7 linked regions of the Oryctolagus cuniculus genome follow. Each later gene encodes a partner of the first gene's protein in a complex. Links are inferred from orthologs where the notes say so. Each region holds a gene or a part of one and is shown in the gene's direction. Other genes may lie near its edges.

Evidence for each region.
Region 2: VPS72 (region 1) and EPC1 share a complex: the UniProt entries of both Homo sapiens proteins name them as parts of the nuA4-related complex. The link is inferred for Oryctolagus cuniculus from reciprocal best matches to the Homo sapiens genes VPS72 and EPC1.
Region 3: VPS72 (region 1) and MORF4L2 share a complex: the UniProt entries of both Homo sapiens proteins name them as parts of the nuA4 histone acetyltransferase complex. The link is inferred for Oryctolagus cuniculus from reciprocal best matches to the Homo sapiens genes VPS72 and MORF4L2.
Region 4: the proteins of VPS72 (region 1) and RUVBL2 are in contact, whole or in part, in a cryo-EM structure (PDB 9CA9), measured with the Homo sapiens proteins. The link is inferred for Oryctolagus cuniculus from reciprocal best matches to the Homo sapiens genes VPS72 and RUVBL2. Residues at the interface, in NP_005988.1 of Homo sapiens: Pro210, Ile211, Ile212, Thr213, Tyr214, His215, Ser216, Val217, Thr218, Arg260, Cys261, Ser262, Arg263, Thr264, Thr273, Glu276, Trp277; in NP_006657.1 of Homo sapiens: Glu141, Val142, Val143, Glu144, Ile145, Gln146, Ile147, Asp148, Arg149, Pro150, Ala151, Thr152, Val187, Gln188, Ala189, Gly190, Arg207, Phe209, Thr210, Arg211, Ala212, Asp214, Tyr215.
Region 5: VPS72 (region 1) and MBTD1 share a complex: the UniProt entries of both Homo sapiens proteins name them as parts of the nuA4 histone acetyltransferase complex. The link is inferred for Oryctolagus cuniculus from reciprocal best matches to the Homo sapiens genes VPS72 and MBTD1.
Region 6: VPS72 (region 1) and MEAF6 share a complex: the UniProt entries of both Homo sapiens proteins name them as parts of the nuA4 histone acetyltransferase complex. The link is inferred for Oryctolagus cuniculus from reciprocal best matches to the Homo sapiens genes VPS72 and MEAF6.
Region 7: VPS72 (region 1) and BRD8 share a complex: the UniProt entries of both Homo sapiens proteins name them as parts of the nuA4-related complex. The link is inferred for Oryctolagus cuniculus from reciprocal best matches to the Homo sapiens genes VPS72 and BRD8.

The regions. Positions count from the first base shown.
Region 1 is NC_091438.1:46,919,284-46,923,213, forward strand, and holds the start of VPS72 (vacuolar protein sorting-associated protein 72 homolog), read left to right. Parts: upstream 1-1,130; coding exon 1,131-1,247; intron 1,248-3,930. UniProt on the Homo sapiens protein: Deposition-and-exchange histone chaperone specific for H2AZ1, specifically chaperones H2AZ1 and deposits it into nucleosomes.
Region 2 is NC_091444.1:102,677,175-102,680,674, reverse strand, and holds part of EPC1 (enhancer of polycomb homolog 1), read left to right. Parts: intron 1-72; coding exon 73-221; intron 222-1,051; coding exon 1,052-1,404; intron 1,405-3,500. UniProt on the Homo sapiens protein: Component of the NuA4 histone acetyltransferase (HAT) complex, a multiprotein complex involved in transcriptional activation of select genes principally by acetylation of nucleosomal histones H4 and H2A.
Region 3 is NC_091453.1:89,784,663-89,788,000, forward strand, and holds the end of MORF4L2 (mortality factor 4-like protein 2), read left to right. Parts: 5' UTR 1-49; intron 50-1,268; 5' UTR 1,269-1,292; coding exon 1,293-2,159; 3' UTR 2,160-2,838; downstream 2,839-3,338. UniProt on the Homo sapiens protein: Component of the NuA4 histone acetyltransferase complex which is involved in transcriptional activation of select genes principally by acetylation of nucleosomal histone H4 and H2A.
Region 4 is NC_091449.1:8,261,926-8,265,425, reverse strand, and holds part of RUVBL2 (ruvB-like 2), read left to right. Parts: intron 1-243; coding exon 244-299; intron 300-590; coding exon 591-732; intron 733-2,508; coding exon 2,509-2,638; intron 2,639-2,743; coding exon 2,744-2,810; intron 2,811-3,500. UniProt on the Homo sapiens protein: Possesses single-stranded DNA-stimulated ATPase and ATP-dependent DNA helicase (5' to 3') activity; hexamerization is thought to be critical for ATP hydrolysis and adjacent subunits in the ring-like structure contribute to the ATPase activity.
Region 5 is NC_091448.1:27,000,961-27,004,460, reverse strand, and holds part of MBTD1 (MBT domain-containing protein 1), read left to right. Parts: intron 1-1,417; coding exon 1,418-1,565; intron 1,566-2,632; coding exon 2,633-2,715; intron 2,716-3,072; coding exon 3,073-3,307; intron 3,308-3,500. UniProt on the Homo sapiens protein: Chromatin reader component of the NuA4 histone acetyltransferase complex, a multiprotein complex involved in transcriptional activation of select genes principally by acetylation of nucleosomal histones H4 and H2A.
Region 6 is NC_091438.1:135,241,529-135,245,691, forward strand, and holds the start of MEAF6 (chromatin modification-related protein MEAF6), read left to right. Parts: upstream 1-1,363; 5' UTR 1,364-1,443; coding exon 1,444-1,533; intron 1,534-2,095; exon of another isoform or gene 2,096-2,381; coding exon of another isoform or gene 2,382-2,435; intron 2,436-2,518; coding exon 2,519-2,634; intron 2,635-4,163.
Region 7 is NC_091437.1:25,955,661-25,958,859, reverse strand, and holds the end of BRD8 (bromodomain-containing protein 8), read left to right. Parts: intron 1-1,761; coding exon 1,762-1,939; intron 1,940-2,506; coding exon 2,507-2,557; 3' UTR 2,558-2,699; downstream 2,700-3,199. UniProt on the Homo sapiens protein: May act as a coactivator during transcriptional activation by hormone-activated nuclear receptors (NR). Isoform 2 stimulates transcriptional activation by AR/DHTR, ESR1/NR3A1, RXRA/NR2B1 and THRB/ERBA2.

The DNA.
Region 1 (3,930 bases):
GGCCATTGCAGCCATTTGGGGAATGAACCAGCAGATGGTGGACCTTTCTCTCTTTCTCTCTCTCCCTCTGTAACTCTCTCAAATAAATCTTTAAAAAGATAAGTTCATTTTTTAAAAAAGATTTATTTATTTGAAAGGCAGAGTTACAGAGAGAGAGAGGGAGAAACAAAGAGCGATGACTCCTCCATCTGCTGGTTCTCTCCCAAACAATTACAGCAGCGAGGGCTGGGCCAGGCCAAAACCAGGCGCACCGGTCTGTTCTCTCACCTGCGTGGAAGGGGCCTATCTTTTTCCAGGCAAATTAGCAGGCAGCTGGATTAGAAATGGAGCAGCTGCGAATTAAACTGGCACCGATATGGGATGCCGCTGTTGCAGGCAGTGGGCCACAACGCCAGCCTCCATTAAAGATTTTTGAGGAGAAGATTAATTCCATTTTTAGAAAAGTTACTACCTACAGCAGAATGAAAGACTGGAACATAGAAACATGACCTCTGAAAGCATATTTGTTGGGGTCAGCCTTGTGGCCCAGTGGGTTAAGCCACCACCTGCAATGCCAGCATCCCATTTGAGCGCCAGTTCAAGTCCCAGCTGCTCCACTTCCAGTAGTGCTCCCTGCTAATGCGCTTGGGAAGAAGAGTAAAGGAAGGTTGGAGTGCTGGGGCTCCTGCCACCCACGTGAGACCCCGATGGAGTTTCCGGCTCCTGGTTTCAGCCTGGCCCAGCCCCCGCCATTATGGCCATTTGGGGAGTAAGCCAGCTGATAGAAGATCCCTCTCTGTCTTTATAATTCTGCCTTTCAAATGAATAAATGAATGAATCTTAAAAAAAAAAAAAAACTTGTTCACTACAAAGTCTGTACTTAGTCTTGGTGTCACGGGCACGGCATATACTCATTCAGCAAGACAGGTCGGAGGTGGCTTGGAGGCTCAGCGCCAGAGTGGGCGGGGCTGAAAGGTAAAGAGGGCTGTAGGGGGCGGGACCAGAAGGCATCGATGTTCTACTGCTTCTGCCTGACGCCTGACTTCCGCCAGCTGAGGCCTCCCTCCCGCAGGTAGTGGTGTCGAGTACCGAGCTCCGAGAACCGAGCTGGGTGAGGGGCCGCTGGTGGCGGCGCAGTCTCCGTAGGCGATATGAGTTTGGCTGGGGGCCGGGCCCCCCGGAAGACCGCTGGGAACCGGCTCTCTGGGCTCCTGGAGGCAGAGGAAGAAGATGAGTTCTACCAGACGACTTATGGGGGTTTCACAGAGGCAAGAAGCGGGCCCAGGAAGAGGGAAGGGAGGAAGCGAAGAGAAGGAGTCTTGCAAGGAAAAACCCTGGACAAAGAAGAAGGGGGCGGGGAATCTCTACCGAGGAGCTCTGGGAGCTGATACTCGAGTCAGGGTGGGTGGGAGGGGGTGCAGTGGAGTCCTGGAAGAGACAACCCTTGGCCGGGTTGGGGTGGGGGTGGAGGTCTGGGATGGAGAAGCCCTCTGGAGGCACCCCGCAGTGTGGTAGAAACCTACAGTGCACATCTCCAGTTTCTCTGCACTGTGACGTCTAGCATGCGGAAGGCACATCGTAGGCAGTCCCTTGGTATGTATTTGTGCTGTTTGGCGCACTGCTGGGTTATGCAGAGGAGTATGGAGTATGCAGAGGAAGCCGCTCCAGAAAACCGGGGCTCTTAGGCTACCCTTTTTTCAAATTTCGAGCCCCAGTGTCAATGTTTTCCTAGATAACCCTTCCGTGACTGTTCTAAAAACTTCTCCAATGACTTCCGTCCCAGAAGCTGTTTCTGTGAAGTTTGTAAATAGACTTGGCTTGCTTATTTGTTTATAGTTTTCTGTTAGATTGTAACTTCTGTAAAGTTACAGGTAGTCTTTCTTCAAATGTTACTCTTCCCGTCGGTGGTCCAGTGTCAGGATTGGGCTGACACTTGCTACATTCTTACTTCCTGAACCTGTGCAGTTGATACATATTGAACACATGGAGTGTGGCGGTGGGTGGTGATAGATCTACACAGTGTTAAAAACACTTCTCTGTCCTTATATATCCAGATTCGGGGTCGGGGGGAGGGACTGACCGGGTTTACAGTCTCTTAAAATTCTGTGCGATAAACATGTTACGGGAACGTGTAGGATCCAGAGTTGTTGCTCAGGATAAGGATCCCTGTGGGGATGATGTTTAAGCAAAGAAAGTATGAGTAGTAGGACTTGACTGGATGAAGAACAGAGAACAGGGAATGAGAAAGATTATTCCAGGAAGGGGTTGGAGCACAGTGTGGACAGGCACTGGGATCCTGATCTGGGACCTGCAAGTTTACTTTTATTTTCTATCCTGAAGGAAGAATAAACACTGGTAAGGCTGGAGGCAGTGAGCATGAGCTGGATCACATAGGTCCCTGAGAGCCACAGTAAGGAATTTCGCTCTTCATCCAGAAGATTGAGAAGAGTCATCAAATTTCTGAGATTAAATTTGTACTTCAGAACTGTTACTCTGTAATAAGGGACATGGGGGAATGGTTTGAAGGGGGCAGGAAACATGGATGGGAGAGTTCAAGAGATATTAAGAAAATAGCACCCACAAGGCTCAGTGACTTTCTGGGAGTCATTACTTACACAAGCCTAACCAAGTAGTTTAAAATAGAACTTTCTCATCCCTCCTCCAAAGTCATTTTCCTATTTCTGTCATTTTACGAGTCGTTATTTAATATGTACTCTTCATGCTTCCAAAAAGGATTTAAAGAGGCTTATGATATAAACAAAAAGTAGGAACAGTAAAAATAGAGACAGATCATAAGTCATTGTACCAGGAGCCTATGCTAAAATGGTAAGAGCAATTGATATTAAATTTAGCTGTGAGTTTTGTGGCTTACTTAGCCAAACTAAATTTCTTTTTACGGTAAGAAAGACGCATACGTGTTCTTTTAGAGAGACAAACCTATTCAGCATAAAACTCTAGGGAAAATTTATTACTTTTTTTTTTTTTTTTTTTTTTTGAGGTCTTCCCTCCACTGGTTCACTCCCCAAATGGCTACCACAGTTGGGGCTGAGCCAGGCCAAAGCCAGGACCCAGGAACTTCTGGGTCTCCCACATGGGTGTAAGAATCTGGGGACTTGAACCATCCTCCACTGCTTTTCCCAGGCACATTAGCAGGAAGTTGGATTGGAAGCAGAGCAACTAGAACTTAAACCAGTTCCAACTTAAACCAGACTTTGGTCTGGCCTAGCCCTGGCCATATCGGCCGTTTGGGGAGTGAACCAGCACATGGAAGATCTTTGTCTCCCTACCTCTCTCTCTTTAACTGTGCATTTCTTTTTTTGTTTTTAAGATTTTATTTATTTACTTGAAAATCAGAGTTACAGAAAGAGAAAGAGAGGCCTTTCATCTGCTGACTCCCCAAATGGCTGCAATGGCCAGAGCTGAGCCGATCCAAAGCCAGGAACTTCTTCCAGGTCCCCCACATGGGTACAGGGGCCCAAGGACTTGGACAATCCTCTACAGCTTTCCCAGGCCATAGCAGAGAGCTGGATTGGAAGTGGAGCTGCTGGGACTCAAACTGGTGCACATATGGGAGGCCGATACTGCAGGCAGTGGCTTCACTTGCTATGCCACAGCACTAGCTCCTGTGCCTTTCAAATAAAGTGAATTTTTTTAAAAAATACATAAATATATATATGTATACATATATACATATACATATATATATAAATATGAAGTAACGGGGTGGTTATATAACCCCACCCTGTAGGTGATATAAAAACATTCTGTTATCCAGTCATTTATAAATGACTGGATAAAAGATACGGGAATAGTAATTCTTAATTTGTTGAAAGCATTTTGATTAGGCACTAAACTAATATGAAGTTGATCTATTGCTCTCTGGAGATGGCTTACTACCAGGTTAGAGTCAAGCCCAGGGGATTAATGTGTTCCTAGGCTGTCTTTCACAGA
Region 2 (3,500 bases), on another chromosome or scaffold:
TTTCCTCCTTGCAAATATCTAACTGTTTCCCTCTAACTGACAAAATAAAATAATGTGGATATTTTTTTTTAGCCTCACTTAGACCAAACTGGGAACTGGCCTTGGACTAGTCCTAAAGATGGAGGATTAGGGGATGTGCGATACAGATACTGCTTAACTACTCTCACCGTACCCCAGAGGTGTATTGGATTTGCACGAAGACGGGTTGGGCGCGGTGGAAGGTAGGGTGCTCTGTGTTCCTAGCAGAGGGATATTTTAGATATTTCTCTTTGCTGTTCTTAATTTATTTGTTGAAATATTTTGCCACTTTGTAGTACTTTGTTTCTGTGACATTGGTGGTAGTGAAAATTCTCTGTGGTGGCTGTATTTTCTTCTGTTGCTAGCATTAATCAGTATTCTCATTTTGAGATGGAGTCATTTATGAAATTTAGATTGTGGCTGGCATTGTGATGCAGTGGGTTAAGTCACCACTTGGGATGCCTGCATCCCTTATCAGACTGCCTGGGGTTTGAGTCTCACCTCTGCCTCTGATCCTGCTTCCTGTTATTGTGCATCCTGGGAGGCAACAGATGTTGGCGCCAGTGCCACCCATATGGGAGACCTGGATACAGTTTCTGGTCCAGCCCCTACCGTAGCAGGCATTTGAGGAATGCACCAGAGGCCAAAAGCGCATGTGCTCGCTCTGCCTTTGAAATAAATAAAAATGGGTTAGAAGTTTATATCAATAATAATATATCCCCCTAAAGTAGGGGATTGTCATATTTTGTCTATAAGAAATTTTAGTAGTACCAAATATCACATGTCTTTTAACTGCTTTTCTCTTCCCCCAAAGAATGACGTTTTTGCTTAAATACAGACAGATATGTTAGCAAGATTTTGTAAAGTGTGTTTTTGAGCCTGTAATAATCAAATACTGAAATAATCAACTTTATAGCTTTTGAATATCCAATAGGAGTTAGGAAGTTGGGGTTGGGGGGAGAAAGGAAAAGCTTTCCTAAATAGTCCTTGAGGAGCTGCTGATATATATCTATTTCCACCGTGTTTTTAATAGGGTCTTACTGGACAGAGCTCATTCAGACTACGACAGTATGTTTCGCCACCTGGATTTGGAAATGCTTTCCTCACCACAACATTCTCCAGTCAATCAGTTTGCCAATACCTCAGAAACAAATACCTCGGACAAATCTTTCTCTAAAGACCTCAGTCAGATACTAGTCAATATCAAATCATGTAGATGGCGGCATTTTAGGCCTCGGACACCATCCCTACATGACGGTGACAATGATGAACTCTCCTGTAGAAAGTTGTATAGGAGTGTGTATCGAACAGGAACAGCACAACCTGGGACCCAGACATGCAGTACCTCCACGCAAAGTAAAAGTAGCAGTGGCTCAGCACACTTCGGTATGTTTATTTGCTATGATGTGCATTTCTATAAAAATGTAAGGTTCCTCCAGTTTTTTGAGTGTGTGATTTATTACATATGTAGCTGAAAATCTTTTTTTTCTCAAAACAGTTAATAAAATAAAAAAGGTCTTGGTTTAAGTATTTGAATTTTGTTGCTGTAGGAGTTTGTATGTATGTGTCTGTATTCAAATAACACCCACATGCAAAGGCGATGTGTTGCTGTTTAATGGGTGACATTTGATTGCTGGATGCAGTCATTGAACCACAAGAATCATTGATTACATTTTCAAATAATATGAAAGGAAAACAGACCTGAAATCGTTAAAGAGTTTCATGCTTGGATACTTCTTTCGTCTTTTACCTAAGCATGGATTCCAGCAAGTCAGTAGGCGTGCTTAAGCATCTGTGCTGATAAAACAATTCAGAACAATGTATTAAGAGAGAAACTAACTTTGCAAAGAAGAATATCTAAGCTAAAGTTTACTTTAACATTTTTGAAAACATCTTTAGACTATGTCGACTTTATTATTATACATTGTGAAATAAGGCTATTACAATAAATGCTATCTACTTAAAATATTCCTATAATTGTAGCTTTCTATTTTAAAGCACAAGTCCGTGTCATTTGAAGCCTATAAGTTAGAGACTTTCACTGTTAAAATTATGCTACTACATTTTTTTCGAGGTAATTTAAATATTGATGTTGAAAGGACTGTAAAGATTGCTTGTTTCCCTAATCAGTACCTGGTGGGGTAATGGTTCAGTTGCCTCATGCATAGGAAAATGTGCCTCTTTCTCTTGAAGACCTCCAGAAAGTGTTCATATAGTAATTTGTTGGTGGTTACAAAAAGGACTTCTGTGAAATGGAAATCTTTGTGTTCATGAGAAAAGTAATCACATTGTAGATCAACTGGAAGATAAAGTTTCTTGGAAATCTAACTGGTTATTTATAAATTTCATTAATTCCTAATATTTTTATCACCAAAAGCCAATTACTCTCTGGTTTATTATCTTAAAAATCAAAATGAAGAACTTCACAATGAAGGAAGATGTATATGTGGTGTGAACAGTTTAAAAGTATAAATTTGCAGTAGTTTCCCCAATATTTAAAGCTTCTGAAGCTTTATGAAATTGAGACCTCTTAGAGAAGATAGACATGTTCCATCAATCCCCATCTTTCCCATCCCTTAGAGAAACTGAAGTTTATAGCTGTCTTAATAATTTTATAAAGCTCACTGTTATTATATAAATAAGTTTTCTGTTTCACATAAAAGGCATATCAATATCAGTTACAAAACTTTCTTAATTTGTGTTTGCCAAAGAACTTTAAAAGGTGAACATTGTTGAACATACCACAAGTTTAGCTGGAAAAAAATCTTTATAATATTCTAATCTCTTTTTAATCATTTCCTTCTCCCTACATATATAACTTTTTTTTTAAATGAGCTTACCTATTTTTTTCTGTGGTATTGATTGTTCTCAATTCCTTCTGAAAATCGCTGGAGTTCCCATATATTTAGAGACTAGACGCCTCCAAACTACTATGGGATAACACTATTCTTTCATATTTGTAAATGTTCTGGTGACTGAAAGCTTTTCTCTTTTTGCTCTGTCAAATATATTAGAGTGCGTTTCTGTCATATATGGATTTCAGTTAAGTGAATTTAAGTATAGGCCCCTGGAGGGGCAAAGAATATTTGGTAGTTGAATCATAATACAGGATTTTAAATACAGTTCTAAGAAAAAGTCTTCTGCAAGGTGAAGCTGGAATGAGAGATGCAAATCCTTTGTTTCTCCTACACGTTTCCTGCCCACCTTGTCATTGCCTTCTTGGGCTAAAACATCTCACTTAGCGTAATTGTAGGTCTAAGGACAAGTTTTACATACAGAATGTCGTCGTGTCGGCCACCCCCCCCCCCCCCCCCCCCGTACAAAGCTAACCACTTCATCTAGCACTTAGTTGATTCAGAGAGACTCTGATTCAGTCCAACACCAGAGAGACTCTGATTCAGTCTAACACCTTAGTCGATTCAGAGAGACTCTGATTCAGTCCAACACCAGAGGAAACTAGCTGTGTTCCGCAAGAGTCCCCA
Region 3 (3,338 bases), on another chromosome or scaffold:
AATCTGGGAACTCACTAGGCATTCTTGGAAAGGAAAGAAGGAAGATTGTGTAAGTGAAAAGAATTGTTTGACCTCTCATACCATAGGATTATTTTTGCATCCTTTCTAGCCCTCCCTTACTGTCGATTATTCCTGTCACTTCTTGAAATTCTCAACTTGGGCTTCCAAATTAAGTCTCCTAATTTTCCTATGACTGCTCTGGCCATTTGTTTCATTTGGCCTTTCTCTCTGCTCACCCCTTATATATCGCTTCCTCAGGTTTCCCAGATTTTATTCTGGTCTCCCTCATAGTGTCCATTGCCAGCTATATGATGATTACTCTCAGATTTCACTTCTAGTTCTGACTTCTCTCACCTAAGCTTTAAAATGCTATGTTGAAATGCACACCGCACATGCAAGAAGGCTGATACTGAACAACAATTTCTTCTCCTGCAGATGCAGTATTATTTTGTGATAATACTAATGACCTAATCACTTCTCAAAACCTGGGAGTCCTCACTGACTCCTCCCTCACCAACTTTCTACGCTCCCCCTCCCAACTAGTGATAACTGGAGATTTTGTTACATGCCATGTCTTGTCTGCTACCAAAGTATTCTGTGCCTATAAACCATCATGTACTAACCTTGTTTTATAATTGTCACTTTAGATGTTTGAATCCCTAACACCTACCATAGTGCCTATTTGGAAGCAAAAATACAGCAATAGAAGATGACAAACCAAATAGATGGATGGTTTACCTCCATTCTTTCATTTTTATTGCTGATTCCAAAGTAACACTTAAGTCTACTTTTGTTAACTCATTAGCTCCCCACATTTGACATTTCAGAGCCCCTTTGACTCCTGGTCTCCTTCAGCGTGTTGCTCAGTTTCTCTTTACTGTCATTGCCCTATTTCCGACCTACCTGGACCAAGACAAGAACCTTTCCAGTTGCTTGTTTTACTGTTGTTCATTTTGCCTCTCTTTGGCTAAATTGATGTTCCTGATTTCTTTTACATTGTCATTCCTTCTGTTCTTCTGTTCCAAAGTCTTGCATTTCAACTCCACTGCCTTTTATCATTTCTTTGTCATTTTAGTTCCTTCTTTAAAATTGCACACCTATACTTTTAGTGACATAAAAAAAAACTAGAGCAGTCTGAGGAATGCCTGGGTGGGATGACAGTAGTGGGTAGTAGGAGTTAGCATATGTTGTGGCCTAATGGGCCTTTATGAACCATAGTTAAAGATCACTGTAGAAAACAAACATGTAAAATACTTTATGTATTACAGTGGTTGGAATAAAAACAGGGTTGAATGAGTTCCAGAAAGCAGGGTTCTCAAACTCGTGGACAACAATCTGCGGAAGAAGACAACTTCAAAAAGCCAACTAGAGGCAACATGCAGAGAAGTAAGATGAGAGGCGCCTCCTCAGGAAAGAAGACAGCTGGCCAACAGCCGAAGAATGTTGAACAAGCTCTCCCAGGAAGATGGGGGGGTCGCTCGGCTGAGAACCCCCCTTCAGGATCTGTGAGGAAGACAAGGAAGAACAAGCAGAAGACTCCTGGGAATGGAGATGGCGGCAGTACCAGCGAAGCACCCCAGCCCCCTCGGAAGAAGAGGGCCCGGGCCGATCCCACTGTCGAAAGTGAGGATGCATTCAAGAATAGGATGGAAGTGAAGGTCAAGATCCCTGAAGAATTAAAACCATGGCTTGTTGAGGACTGGGACTTAGTAACCAGGCAGAAACAGCTCTTTCAACTCCCTGCCAAGAAGAATGTAGATGCTATTCTGGAAGAGTATGCCAATTGCAAGAAGTCACAGGGAAACATCGACAACAAAGAATATGCCGTCAATGAAGTTGTGGGAGGTATAAAAGAGTATTTCAATGTGATGTTGGGCACTCAGCTGCTCTATAAGTTTGAGAGGCCCCAGTATGCTGAAATCCTGTTGGCTCACCCTGATGCGCCGATGTCCCAGGTTTATGGAGCACCACACCTACTGAGATTATTTGTGAGAATTGGAGCAATGTTGGCTTATACGCCCCTTGATGAAAAGAGCCTTGCTCTATTGTTGGGCTATTTGCATGATTTCCTAAAATATCTGGCAAAGAATTCTGCTTCTCTGTTTACTGCCAGTGATTATAAAGTGGCTTCTGCTGAGTACCACCGCAAAGCCCTGTGAGGGTCTACTGACCACTCACCATTAATGTCTGGTATCTGTAAAACACTTTTTTTTTGTTCTTAGTCTTTTTCTTGTATAATTGATGTTCTTTAAAATTGTTAATGTATAACAGGGCTTATGTTTCAATTTGTTTTCTGTTCTATATTAAACAGAAAATAAAAGGAGTGCAAACTCCTTTTCTCATTTCAGAGTTGCTACCAGTGTATGCAGTAATTAGAAAAAGAAGAAAAATTCAGTAGAACATTTTATTGCATAGTTGACAACATTGCTTGAACGCTGGTGGTTCCATCCCTTTGACACTACACAATTTTCTAATCTGTGTTAATGCTATGTGATAAAAAAAAAAATGCCCTGATTCCTAGTGCCAAAGGTTCAACTTAATGTATATACCCGAAAACCCATGCATTTGTGCTCTTTTTTTTTTTTTATGGTGCTTGAAGTAAAAACCGCCCATCCTCTGCAAATCCATCTATGTTGTTCCTTAGGCATCCTATCTTTGCTCAAATTGTTGAAGGATGGTGATTTGTTTCATGGTTTTTGTATTTGAGTCTAATGCACGTTCTAACATGATAGAGGCAATGCATTATTGTGTAGCCACGGTTTTCTGGAGAAGTTGATATTTTAGGAATTGTATTTCAGATCTCAAATAAAAATTGTTTCTAAGTTTCAAAGCAAGAAATATGTGCTGTGCCTTTAATGTCACCAAAGCTGACAGACTCACCTTGCTCAGGAAAGATCTTGGTGGTATCACAGATCTGTGACTCCTAGATCGTTGACCAAGACTTCCCTGATTCCCCAACAGATGTCAAGTTCCTTCTCTTTAATCCTAGCATAGGGAATCCATGGAGATGTTCCATGGTATTGGATAGCTGTACTTGTAGGTTCATCTAAACATGAGAATTTCCTAGTCAAACCACATATTTTTCATGACTTTTTCAGATCAACTAGAAAAGTAACCATAACTATTGTAAAAATTTTAGAAAATACATTAAGAACAAATATGGAAATAAGAATCACATAAAATCCTATCAATTCAAGTCCCAGCCCCCTCCAAAAAAAAAAAAGACTCAGAATGGGTGGTTTGAAGAGTTTATTAATAAAGGATTTTTCCCCAAATTACCAATATAAGGACACAAATCATTAGGTACAGGCCCACCCCAGTGAGCTCGTTTTTAACTT
Region 4 (3,500 bases), on another chromosome or scaffold:
CGAGCAGTGGCCTAGCCCTCCATGCCACCACCCCGCCCCAGCTGCAGCCCTCGTTTCACAGGATTGTGCAGAAGGAAGCCAGCACCTGTGGGTGCCGTGTGAGCCCTGCACCCAGAGCCATAGTTGCTGGTGGGCTCATGTGGTTAGTCAGGCCTCAGTGGCCAGTGTGGCGACCCCAGCGGCAGCCGCAGCTGACTGAGCATGTGCCGAGCTGCCGGTGACCTTGCCTCTCCCTGCACGCAGGTGCTCACTCCCACATCCGGGGACTTGGGCTGGACGATGCCCTGGAGCCACGGCAGGTAAGGCAGAGGGGACTGGGGTTCAGGGCTGCTCCATGAAGGCCAGGGCTGACGGTGCCCGTGGCGCGTGTGGGACTGTGTTATCTTCCCGACCTGTGGCTCCACATTTACAAAACTCAGCCACACGTGGAGTCTAACTGACGTCAAAACATGGACATGGGGGGCTGCTTTGGCTTTCCCCAGAAGTCTTGGGCCCCGGTGTCTGCTTTGGTGTCCCGCGCCTGGATGCGGTAGAAGTACAGCGGTTGCCTGGTCGGCGCCCCTCATGGCCCTCTTGCTTCCACCGCGCAGGCCTCCCAGGGCATGGTGGGGCAGCTGGCGGCCCGGCGGGCAGCCGGCGTGGTCCTGGAGATGATCCGGGAAGGCAAGATCGCCGGGCGGGCCGTCCTCATCGCTGGCCAGCCGGGCACCGGGAAGACGGCGATCGCCATGGGTAAGAGGCCCCGCCGGGCAGGAGCGCTCTTGGTCTCTGCCAGATGAGCCCCCCTCGTAAGTCAGCGTCAAACCCCTCACGTAAGAAAGTCCAGACGTGGGCCACTGGGGCCTTTGAGCAGCTGCACGAGGTCTCCTGTCTTCCTGCCTTGACATCCTCTGCACTCGGTTCCATGTCAAGATCGCCTCCTGTTCCGAGAGGGCTGCCTGAGCTCCCGCCTCCCCACCCACACTCCAGGCAGCAGGCAGTGAGGGCGGACCTCCTAGGTCAGCTCCCCGGGAGCGGCTCTCGGGAGCCAGGCGTGCTGTGCTGTCCCGTCGGCCAGAACCTAGCCACGTGCCTACACTCTGCTGCAAAGGGGCTCAGACGCTCACAACTTCTTTGAATTTCCAAAGTTGGTCTGTGGCTGCCTCAGTGCAGCGACTGTTCTGGAACTAAGGAAGGAGGGACAGACAGGCGCTGAACACACAGCCGGCAGTCTCCATCCGCCCACCGGAGATCTGTCATCTTGTCACAAGTGTCGCTCGTCTCGGCGAACCCCTGTCCACCCTTCAGAACCCTGCCTGGCACTGTGGGCTCCCTGAAGCCCTCCTTCCCACTGCCCCCTCCTCTGGGCTCAGGCTGTGCCCAGGCAGCGGGAGGCGCAGAACGACCAGGGCTTAGTCAAGGGAAGCAGCGTCGTCTGGTGCCCTCCTGTGCTGGGCCTGGGGCTGCACGCTGAGTGCATGTAGCCCCGCTGAGCCCTCAGCGCCGGGAGCTCCCCGTCTGGGAGAGGCAGGCCTGGCCACGGGCCCTTCCAGAGTGACGCGTGCTGTCATGGAGGTGTCCCAGGGCAGGGGCAGCTCCCCAGAGGGGTCGACACCTGAGCTAAGACCGCCGGGACCCCGAAGGAACTGGCCCTGTGCTGGACAGAGGCCGGGGGAGGGGCTGGGTGCTTGGGAGATGACAGGAGACAGCCCCCGCCTGCCCCCAGGTTCCAGCTGCAGACCTGTCCCTGTGTGGTCGCAGGCTGAGTGACAGGGTTGAGTGCCCGCCCCATAATCACGCAGTGCAGGCTGTCGTCCGCGGAAGGCTTGGGAAGCAGCTGAGACTTAGGGATCCTTCAGGGCTCAGCGTGCTGAGCAGTGGGGTCTGGATTCAAACCCGGCTGCTCCCCACCCCAGGCCCTGAGGCCGGACAGCTCTTAGACACTGGGAGACGGAAGACGCTCGGCGAGGTTCGAGGCCGTCCCCTCTGGCTGGTCGGGATTTGAGAGCAGGCTTCTGGCGCAGCCGGCTTGTCTCCCGTCTGCCCTGTGCCTCGCGCCTCTCTCCAGCCCCCTTCCCGAGGGTTCTGCCCTGCTCAGAGCCAAGCGAAGACGGGGTGGCAGTGCAGGCGTAGGGTGCAGACCGAGCCACTGCGTGGGACGCCTGCATCCCACGTGGACTGTGTGGTTTGAGTCCCTGCTGCTTCACTCTGGCCAGCCAGCTGCCTGCCCTGGAGGCATAGGAAGCCCAAGTACGTGGGCTGCTGCCACGCACGGGGAGGCCTGGGGGAGTTCCTGGCTCCTGACTTGGGCCTGTCCCAGCCCCGGCTGTTGTGGGCATCTGGGGCGTGAACCAGCAGATGGAAGGTCTCGCTCCGTTTCTCCCTCTCTGACACTGTGCCTTTCAGATGAGTACATCTTAGGGGAAAGGAAGGAAAGAGGCCGATGGCGCCGAGCGCCCCTTCCTGGGGGAGAGCTGGCTTCCCCGGGGAGCGGTGCCAGCGCCTGCTTACCCAGCCCGCCTCCCCCAGGCATGGCCCAGGCGCTGGGCCCCGACACCCCCTTCACAGCCATCGCCGGCAGTGAGATCTTCTCCCTGGAAATGAGCAAGACCGAGGCGCTGACCCAGGCCTTCCGGCGCTCCATCGGCGTGCGCATCAAGTAAGGGAGGGGCTGCCTCCTGCCAGCCGCCAGCCCGCTCACCCTCCGCCCTGGGGCTCCTGGGGGTTCTGGGTCGCTGTGCCCTGAGCTCTGCTCTCTGGCCAGGGAGGAGACGGAGATCATCGAAGGAGAGGTGGTGGAGATCCAGATCGATCGGCCGGCCACCGGCACGGTGAGTCCGCGGGTCTGCAGCCGGGCATGGGGGCGTGGCCTCCGAGTCCGTGGGTGGGGCGGGGGGCGGAGCCTGGTGTGCTGGCGGGAGGGCTGGGCGGAGTGGCGGTGCTCGCCAGCAGTTGGCCGGGGCACGCGGAGCGGGGCAGCGGCGAGGGGCCGGGCTGGGCGTTTCTGTGGGTGCTCGCCAGCCACCGCTCAGAGGGCAGTTCTGCGGGGTTCAGACGCCTCAGTACCAAGCTGCGCCGTGGGATTTGCTCGCTGGTTTTTTTAACCTAAGACTTTTCTGAAACCCTTTTGGTATCCGACAGGTACAAAGAAGCATATAAAATAAACACTGCTCTAATAAGTCAGGAGGAAATCCCCCCCCCCCCCCCCCCGCGCAGGTGCTGAGCCTCTGCCAGCGCCCCCAGCATTCCCCACCCCGCCTCGCTGCTTCCCGCCGTGGCCCGAGGCCCTGTTACAGCTCCCTCCTGCGCCCACGCTCGCTCCCTTGTCTCCAGGGTTTTTGTTACCCAACTCTGCATTCCTAGACGCTGGAGTAGCCTTGTCAGGTGTTTCTGCTTCGTGCCTGTCTGTTGGAAAGTTTCCCTTGATCTCTTCGTTTGTGGTTTACCTGTAAAGAAACCGTTTTAAAGTGTGCGGTGTGGCAGAAGGACACCATCTCGTCTAGTTCTAGAACTGTCCCCAA
Region 5 (3,500 bases), on another chromosome or scaffold:
TGTGGAAGACAGCTGAAAGCAATAATACTAGACATCATAATGAAGTGACGGAGATTGACAAGGATAAAGAAGGGACTGGCAGTAGAGGTGGGGTCTTGACACCTGGAGATTGATTACCTACAGAGAAGTAAGAGGTTTGTTGGTTTGATGCCCTGTACTAATTCTCAGAGTATATTTAGACTGCAGAACTGACAAACTCATGATAAAACTTCAGGAATCAAGAAGCAGAAATTGTAGCACAGGGAATTAAGCCACTGCCTTGGATGCCCATATCACATACCAGAGTGCCTGAGATCAAGTCCCACATCTGCTTCAAATCCAGCTTCCTGCTAATGAGTCGGGGAGGTAACAGATCTTGGCCCAAATACTTGGGTTCCTGTCACCCACATGGGAGATTCAAATGGAGTTTCCTGGCTTCCACATGGCGCAGTCTCCACTTTTGGTATTTGGGAAGTGAACCACCAGATGAAGATCTCTCGCTGTCTTTCCCTCTATGTCTTTCACTCTGACTTTCAAATAAATAAGTACAACTTAAAAAAAAATGTAGGAATCACCGTGGGCGTTTGGTACAGTAATCACAACACTTCTTGGGACACCCATGTCCCATATCTGAGTGCTGAGGTTCAAGTCCTGGCTCTGCTCTTTTTTTTTTTTTTTTTTTTTTTTTTTTTTTTTTTGACAGGCAGAGTGGACAGTGAGAGAGAGAGACAGAGAGAGAAAGGTCTTCCTTTGCCGCTGGTTCACCCTCCAATGGCCGCCGCTGCAGCCGGCGCACCGCGCTGATCCTGGCAGGAGCCAGGAGCCAGGTGCTTTTCCTGGTCTCCCATGGGGTGCAGGGCCCAAGCACCTGGGCCATCCTCCACTGCACTCCCTGGCCATAGCAGAGAGCTGGCCTGGAAGAGGGGCAACCGGGACAGAATCCGGCGCCCCAACCGGGACTAGAACCCGGTTTGCCGGCGCCGCAAGGTGGAGGATTAGCCTATTGAGCCACGGCGCCGGCTCTGGCTCTGCTCTTAATTCCAGCTTCCTGGTAATATGTACTGGAAAAACTGTATGAAATAGATCGATAGGAACAAAGTAAAGGTACTGCCGAGTAGTATTTTCAGCCCACATGGTTATGGCGCTTCTACCTGACACAGTAACAGGCAGCTTTTGCTGGTGGCAAAGATACTGTTTTTCTCAAACCTCTGAAGTCACTTTGTTATTGGGCTTTTGGTTTCTGGAACACACTGGAAACTATATAGGCTTCTTGTTACAACTTCTGTTATTTAACATCAATCAGTAGACAAGCATTTCCACTTTGAAGAGATCCTTATGTAATAGATTTTCCTTTCCTTGAAAGTGTCATTTAATTCAGAGTGTCATTTTTTATAATAGTTGTATCTAATTTCAGATACTTGGGCTTTTAATTTAAAAGGTGCTGGCTGATGGATTCCTCATGATTGGGATTGATGGCTCAGAAGCAGCGGATGGCTCTGACTGGTTCTGTTACCATGCGACATCTCCTTCGATTTTCCCTGTCGGTTTCTGTGAAATTAATATGATTGAACTTACTCCACCCAGAGGTATTCCATCCTAATGTGAACACTCGGATTTGATTCTTGAGTTCTTCTTACACAGGATCTGTTTACATTTAGCACAGATATTCTTGCTTTGGGGTCTATATATTATATAGGTGTGTGTTAGCTATATAGAAATAACGGAAGCTGTTAGGTGCTCTAAAAACAAAGCACTGTATTTAAGTTTACATAACAAATTACATTAAGACAGAATTTTTCCCAAACCATCTGTCCATTTTCTAATATGAATTGGTGTTTTAACCTAATGATAATATGAACTCAAGGCTATTGCATACATAAATTTTTTTTTAATTGAAGGAAAGGGTGCTACTGGCTTTCAGGTTAAGCCACCTCCTGCAGTGCCAGCATCCCATATGGGTGCCAGTTCAATTCCTGACTGCTCTACTCCCCATCCAGCTCCCTCCTACTTTGCCTGGGAAAACAGCAGAAGATGGCCTAAGTCCCTGGGCCCCTGCCACCCATGTCAGGGACCTAGAAGAGGCTCTTGGATCTTGGTTCCTGGCTCTTGGCTTTGGCCTGGCCCAGCTCTGGCCATTACAGCCATTTGGAGAGTGAACGAGTGGATGGAGGGCTTCTCTCTTTCTCTCTCACACTGTTCCTTAAGATTGAAGGAACTTTGATCGTAAGATGGCTTTTTTTTTTAAAGGAAATGTGTGTTAAGTAAATCACATGGCTAAATCAGTTGATTTTTCCAGTTTTCCTCAGAGTTTTATTTTTTCTCTCAGAAGAGGAAAAAAGAAAGCTACAACAGAGGTCTATAAAAACAATATTTGCTTGCCTAGTTTTCTTTCTTTAAAAAAAAGAAAAATATCACTTCAGGGTGTTAAATGCTAGACTCTTCTGAAGCCTGTGATTGCAAAAGCAAAAGTCGTTCTTGTAGTAAACCCAAAGGAAGGGAATCAGACTGGCATGATAGTAAGTAGGCACACCAGTGAGCTAAAAGTGTGTCATATAACCTGAAATCGGAGACTCTGTATATGTTACCTCTTTCTACATTTTAGTATTAGGCTAATTTTAAATGAAGTGTTACTTCATAAAATTCTGTTTTTTAGGTTACACAAAACTTCCTTTTAAATGGTTTGACTACCTCAGGGAAACTGGCTCCATTGCAGCACCAGTAAAACTATTTAATAAGGTAAATATAAATGTTGAATTAATTATGTTGGAGTTTTTTTGATGACCAATAAGTGCAAGTCATTGTTGATGAAGATGTCTTTCCTTTATATTATAATTGCTTAGTGGTGATTAATATAAATACATAATATTAAAACCATTTATTTTCTTAGTTGAAGCTTATTTCCAAACTATGTTTTATTTTTAATATGAATGAAATAAAAATGCTTCACTGCCGTAATATAACTTAAATAATTAAAAGTGGTTTGAGGTTTAGGGGCTATGTTATTTGGCTATATTGCCTCAATTTTTTGCTATTTTAGTTACAGTTCAGTCATGCATTCTTTATACTAGTGTTAATGTTTTGCTTCCCTGTTAGGATGTTCCAAACCACGGATTTCGTGTAGGAATGAAATTAGAAGCAGTAGATCTCATGGAGCCACGTTTAATATGTGTAGCCACAGTAACTCGGATTATTCATCGTCTCTTGAGGATACATTTTGATGGATGGGAAGAAGAGTATGATCAGTGGGTAGACTGTGAGTCCCCTGACCTCTATCCTGTAGGGTGGTGTCAATTAACTGGATATCAGCTACAGCCTCCAGCATCACAGTGTAAGTTGGTATACACAAAAGGTGTCCTTTTGTAAACATCAGCAGTTCTCCAGAGGACTGTCTCACATAAATCATCTTGTGAGCTCACAGGACAAGAATATACCTGTGTTTGATTGGTTACCAGGTAAGATGTTAAAACTCAACAGACTCAGAAAATCAGACCATGTGTACCAAAGGCAGTATGAACTCAATA
Region 6 (4,163 bases), about 88 Mb from region 1:
GACTAGGAATGCTGATCAGCACAGTGAGACAGGAGAGGGAGTAAAGAGCACTCAGGGCTGGTGTTGTGCCACAGCAGCTTAAGGTACTCCCAGGGATGCCCACATGTCGTATCAGAGTGCAGGCTGGAGTTCAGCTACTCCGTTTCCAGTCCAGCTTCCTGCAAGTGTGCCCAGGAAAGCAGCTGGGGATGGCCCAAGTCCTTGGGCCCCTGCTACCGATCTGGGAGACTTCTATGGGTTTAGCCTCATCCAGCCTGGCTGGATGGTCATGTTGTGGTCATTTGGGGATTGAACTAGTGGATGGAAGATCGCTCAATCTCATAGTCTCTGTCTCTGTCTCTCTCCCTCTCTAACTCTGCCTTTCAAATAAATAAAATAAGCCTTTAAAAAGTAATATTTTAAAAACAGTATACATATTGGGAAGGAGTAACAATATAAAACAATTCCCTATTTGCAAATAAAATGATTGTCACAGAAAAAATTCCAAGGAATCTGGACTAGAAAACCCTTCCTAAAATTAATAAGGGAGCTTGGCAAGATCCCAGGTTACTAAATCTATACACGAAAAGAAATTTCCAGAAATTAGCAGATAGACAAGATGGAGAATATAGATAGTAAAACTTAAAGGATTAAAGACGTTTCTTTCTTTACTTGAAAGGCAGAGAGAGAGGCAGAGAGCTTCCATTGGCTGCTTCACTCCCCAAATGCCCACAACAGCTGGGGCTGGGCCAAGCCCAAACCAGGAGCCTAGAACCTAACCCAGGTTTCCCAACTGGGTGGCAGGATCCCATGACATCCCCTTCTGCCTCCCAGGGTGCAGGTTAGCAGGAAGCTGGAATCAACATACCCAGGACTGAAACTGGGGCCCTTCGATATGGGACGCCAGCATCTCAAGCTGGCGCTTAACTCCTGAGCCAAATGCCCACCCCCAAATAAAGGATTCTTTAAAAAAAATTATTTGAAAGGCAGAGTTACAGAGAGAGAGGTCTTCCAAACGCTGCTTCACTCCGCAAACGGCTGCAATGGCCATGGCTGGGCCAAGCCAAGCAGGAGCCAGGAGCTTCACCCAGGGTGGGTGGAGTGAGGATAACCCTCAGGCTCTGACTCGGGCCCCTCGGTGGCAGTGAAGTCATTCCCCAGGGGAATGACTAGGAACTCTAAGCACGAGCCTGGCTTTGGACACTGTGAGCCCGCGGTGCCCCTAAAGCTCGCCGGCCAATCCTAGTGCGGAAAGGCAGATCCCAGCAGGTGCGGCAGCCCCACCTGCCGGATCCATCCCCGGGGCAGGGTTTCCCAGCGCCCCGCCCAAGCGCGGCGCCCGGCGGCGCGCGTCTCCGGAAGCCGCTCGCGCAGGCGCAGTGCAGCGGGCGCCCCCTGGCGGTCGGCAGCGGATCGCAGGGCCCGCCCCCAGCCGCCCGCCGCTGCTGCCCGCCTCAGCCCAACATGGCGATGCACAACAAGGCGGCGCCGCCGCAGATCCCGGACACCCGGCGGGAGCTTGCCGAGCTCGTGAAGCGGAAGCAGGAGCTGGCGGTGAGCGGCTGGGACCCGGGGCTCCGGCGTGGGGCCCCGCGCTCGCCCGGCCGCCGACCGCCAGCCCGGCCGCACCAGGCCGTCGGTTACTCCGGGGACGCCGCGCGCGGCCCGGGAGTCCGGCGGCCTGGGCCGGGGCGCGTGCCGCCGAGCGCCGTTTCCGGCGGTGCGGAGGCGGAGCGGCGGCCGGAGCCCGGAGGGGGCGGGGAGCGGGCCTCGGCGGCGCGGAGGAGGAAGGGCGCCGCGGGCCGGGGCGTGTGCGTGCGGGCGCCTGAGAGGGCGGGTGTCGTGGGTCGTGCGGGTGGGCGCGGGCGGAGGCGGGTCCCGGCCTGCGGGTGGGCTTTGGGGATGAGCCGAGTGTGGGAGCCGGTCTGGTCTCTGAGAGGATGGTGGGGGGGTAGGTCCCTTTTGGTCCTAGGAGCCCATCCGTGGGAGGGTGTCTGGGATGGGCAGGGGTGTGATCTTTCCAGAAGGTGACAGGCGGGGGACGAGGACCGGGTTGGGAAACTGGGAGCCGTGACGTGCACCCCGCGTTTGGGCGCACCTGCTGCCGCCCTTCCAGGTTTCCATGACAACGGGCAGCCCGGGGCCGGCGGCCTCGCCGAGCCCTTGGGAGGGCAGTGCCCAGTGCCTCGCTCATTCCGCGCCTGGTGGCGGTCCCCTTTGTGCGTGGGCGTGGAGCCTGCCCCTGTTCTGCCTCGGCCCGGTTCTTGACACTTGGGTTTCCGAGAGCCCTGTGCAGAATTCCGCACGTGTGGGCGTTTACCTGGGGACAGGCTCTGTGGAGTCCGTTCTGTTCCCAAAGGGGTCGGGCCATCACCCCGAAAGATCCAGACTCTTGGACTTGAATGGCCTACCGTTCCTGGAGTCCTCCAGCCCTCCACGAAGGTAGTTTAATGTGGGTGAGTTTGGGTTTATGATAAGCCCAGGGTCAGGCTTTCAGTGTGGGCACAGCTAATCCCCGGCCTGGCTTGTCGTCTCCCAGGAAACTCTGGCCAACTTGGAGAGACAGATCTATGCTTTTGAAGGAAGCTACCTGGAAGACACTCAGATGTATGGCAATATCATTCGTGGCTGGGACCGCTATCTAACCAACCAAAAGTGAGTTTCCAAAGGTTGTGCTCTCGAAATACCCATTTGTGGGATTGTGTGTTGTTGACAGCCATGGGGCCGGGGAGGCAGCAGCCGTCAGGTGGTGGTGTGCAGGGAGGTCTGGGCTTGAGCTGGCACTGAGGGTCCGCCCCTGCCTCCCCGAGTAGAACAGGGGGAGTCTGGCCCTGCCCAAGAGCTGTGTAAGGCTTGGATGGAGTACGGCGTGTGACAGTCTGCACAGCTCTGGTAGTGTTTTCCACATTTTGATCAGTCTTGAGTTCAACCCTTGGAAGTTTTGCCATACCTGTGTGGCTACTGTACTACAGTGTTATTCTTTGGGACTGGCTGTGTGGCACAGGGGGTTAAACTGCAACCTGTGACGTCAGCATCCTGTTTAAGAGAGCCAGTTCTAATCCCAGCTGTTCTGTTTTCAATCCAGCTCCCTGCTGATGTGCTAGGAAGGCGGTGGAAGATGGCCCACAAGGTTGGGTCCCTGCCAACCGTGTGGGAGACCAGGTAGAGTTCCAGGCTTTTGATTTTGGCCTGGCCCAGCCCTGGCTGTTGTGGGCATTTGGGGAGTGAACCACGGATGGAAGACCTCTCTTTCTTTGTCTCTCCCTTTCTGTTACTCTGCCTTTCAAATAAATAAATCTTTTAAAAAAATATTTCATTTATTTGAAAGGCAGAGTGACAGAGATCTTTCATATGCTGGTTCACTCCCCAAATGGTGCAACAGCTGGGGCTGGACTGATCTGAAGCCAGGAGCCAGGAATTCCATCCAGGTCCCCTGCGTGTTGCAAGGGCCCCAAGCATTTGGGCCGTCTTCGGCTGCCCTTCCAGGCACATCAGCAGGGAGCTGGATTGGAAGTGGAGGAACTGGGACAGAAACCGGTGCCCATATGGGATGCCAGCACCCACTTAACCTGCTACGCTACAGTGCTAACCCCCATATAAGTAAAATGTTAAAAAAATGATTCTTTTCAAATTTTGGAAATTTTTAAAAATTTAAGTAGAATTTTTTAAAAAATTTACTTATTTATTTGAAAGAGTTACGCAGAGAGAGAGAGGGAGGTCCTCCATCTGCTGGTTCATTCACTCCCCAGATGGCTGCAAGGACTGGAACTGCGCTGATCCGAAGCCAGGAGCCAGGAGCCTCTTCTGGGTTCCCCACGTAGGTGCAGGGTCCCAAAGACTTGGGCCATCTTCCACTGCTATTCCAGGCCATAGAAGAGAGCTGGATCAGAAGAGGAACAGCCAGGACTAGAACTGGTGCCTATATGGGCTGCCAGCGCTTCAGGCCAGGGTGTTAACCCGCTGCGCCACAGCGCGGGCCTTAGGTAGAATTTTTTTTTTTTACGTTTATTTGGAAGACAGAGTGGCAGGCAGAGAGATTTTCCATCAGGTTAAAGGCAGGCTGAAGCCTGGAGGCAGAACTCAGTCCTAGTCTCTCCTGGGTGACTCCTTGAGTCACCACCTGCAGCCTCCCTGGGCGCACATTAGCAGGACATTGGAATTGGAAGCAGATGGGACTCAAGCCT
Region 7 (3,199 bases), on another chromosome or scaffold:
ATTTATTCTCATGGTTCTGGATGCTGAGCAGTTCAGGATCAAGTTGCCTGCAGGACTGGTCTCTAAAGGGCTGTTCTCTGCTTCCAAGATGGTGCCCTATTGCTACATCCTCTTGAGGGGGCAGATGCTGTGTTCTTACATGGTAGGAAGAATAGACAAGCAAGAGGGCTTCCATCAATCTCAGCCTCCTTTATAAGGGTACTAATCCTATTCATGAGGGTGGCATCCTAATGACTTAATCACCTCTCCAAGACCAATAACTCAGAACTGTTGCATTGGGGAATATGTTTCAACGTGAATTTCAGAGAGAACATCATCACTGAAACTATAGCAGAGACAAACTCCTTTGTAATATAAATGGGGAAATTAATGTCCAAAGGTAGTTGTGACTTACCTATGAACAACCAACAGTTAATAGCAGAGTTAAGCTATAGATTCTTTTTTTTTTTTTTTTTTTAGATTTATTTATTTGAGAGGTAGAGTTTACAGACAGTTAAAGGGAGAGACAGAGAGAAAGGTCTTCCCTCCGTTGGTTCACTCCCCAAATGGCCGCAATGGCCAGAGCTGCGCCAATCCGAAGCCAGGAGCCAGGAGTTTCTTCCTGGCCTCCAATGTGGGTGCAGGGGCCCAAACACTTGGGCCGTCTTCCACTGCTATCCCAGGCCACAGCATAGAGCTGGACTGGAAGAGGAGCAACTGGGACTAGAACCCAGGGGCCCATATGGGATGCCGATGCCGCAGGCAGAGGATTAACCTAATGCGCCACAGCCCTGCCCCAAGCTATAGATTCTTCCAGTTCAGCCCTTTCTACACTGCTGTGCTTTCTCGTATATATCTATTCTTTGTAAATATTTATTTGTGTGACTATTCATTTGATCTCCGTTCTTTTCATCTTAGTGAAAGGGGAAAAAAATTCACTTTTGATTTATGCAACAAGAGAAGTAGATTAAATACCTATTATATGACTACATTGCCAACAGCCAAAAACTATTGTGTGGCAAACTGATTGATAATCGGGTCCCCTTACAGCTCTGATGCCTGGCCAACCACCCACAGTAAGAATAGTGGCTTGGACCATGGGGTTCTGTAGTCAGGTTGATTTGAATTTGAATCCAGGCTGTGTGTCATTAGGCAAGTACTTAACCTCTCTATAGGTTAAGTGGAAATAATAATGATACCTACCTTATGGATTCAGAGGACTAAGTTACTACAGAAAGTGCCTACAGTAGAAGTTAGCCTACTATGAACAGTCAAATGTTAATCGCAGTTGCTTTTATCTGATGGGAGTTGTTACTTTGCTATTTATTTTTATTTATTTATTTTTTTTATGTGACAGGTAGAATTACAGACAGTGAGAGAGAGAGAGACAGAGAGAAAGGTCTTCTTTTTGCTGTTGGTTCACCCTCCAATGGCCGCTGTAGCCAGCGCACCGCGCCGATCCAAAGCTGGGAGCCAGGTACTTACCTGGTCTCCCATGGGGTGCAGGGCCCAAGCACCTGGGCCATCCTCCACTGCACTCCCTGGCCACAGCAGAGAGCTGGCCTGGAAGAGGGGCAACCGGGACAGAACCCGGCGCCCCGACCGGGACTAGAACCCGGTGTGCCGGCGCCGCAAGGCGGAAGATTAGCCTAGTGAGCCGCGGCACCAGCCTACCTTGCTATTTATTTTTATTAGGAACCAGTTCTCCAAAAGAGCATGGTAGGTCACCACATCTTCCATACTAATGTTTGATCTCCTCTCTTTCTCTTGGCCAATTTACAGACCCATGGACTTAACTAGCCTGAAGAGAAATCTGTCTAAGGGACGAATTCGCACCTTGGCTCAGTTCCAGCGGGACCTGATGCTGATGTTCCAGAATGCTGTGATGTACAATGATTCTGATCATCATGTGTACCATATGGCTGTGGAGATGCAGCGAGAAGTCTTGGAGCAGATTCAGGTACTGTTTGTAGAGTGCTGCAAGTAAAAGGGGTGTAGCCACTACGATCTGATTTTGGAAAGTCTGTGACAGTAAAGGTGATGTTGAAGTGGTGCTGTGTTTCCAAAGTTTATATTTAGAAGTGATTCAACACCTGGTGTTGTGTCTACTGCTTTGGACCCCGAACCTCAGTAGGTTCTATTTTTAGTAGAGAGTGAGGTGAAGTGATGTAGTCTAGCAACACAGGCAACAGTGAAGACCTCTCAAGAAAGCTGGGGATAGGCGAGTGATGGGAACTCCGGCTTCTAGAGCCTCAAGTGGGAAGACTGAACAGCAAACCAAAGGCTGGAGCCACTGTCCATTTGTTGGTTACTACAACTGTTGCTATTAATCACATCACAGGTTTCTATCTTTGGGGGAAAAGACTTAGTAGCTTTAAAGAAACATTTGGGGGTTTCTTTTCTGGGCAGCATTATACTTTAAAGAAAAAAAGTGTAATTGCATCTATTTGCCAAATAAGGGGGAAAATTATGTTGAATCATCTAGCTTTTAAGTTCATAGCTTACTATTTGTGCCTTGACCCTGCAGGTGCTGAGTATTTGGTTAGACAAAAGGAGAGACTTAAGTAGTCTGGAGTGAGAACCAACCAATCCAGTGGGTGATGAAAACGTATTTGGTTGACCTGGAGCTGCTACTCTGACGTTTTTTCTCAAGTTTGGACCTCTTCCTGAAACTCTGGCCCAGAAAAATCCCAACACTTTGTTTACCACTTCTCTGTTGTCTTTTCTAGTAAAAGGAGGCACCAGTGCCTGTGGATATAATATTAAAACAAAGGGAGGAGGGTTGAGATTTGGATTTATGTCATAAATGTTACCCCACATCTTTGTTCCATAGGCCCAATTTAGAGGTAATTAAACATTTTATTACTGCTTTATAAATAAATATTTCACAAACAAAGATTGCTTTTCAATTTTAAAGAAACTGGGTATAGAGAGAACAGCATGATCTGGTAGAACAAGAAGGTGCTTGCCACAGGTCTGTGTGGACGGTAGTGTCTAATTGGCAGGAGAGTCGCATAAGAAAAATTGTGAGGGAAATGTTAGGAAACAAATAGCGCTCTGAGATTCACAAGGAGAGTAAAATGCCGGTGGCTGACGTCCTTGATTAAAACGATCCGGAGAAGTTCCAAACCTGTTGCTGGGATTGGCCCTCAGCGGCCACTGTCCCTAGGCCGAGGCTTCAGGTATCCTAGCAACGAGCTGCCGCACTGGGAGCAGCTAG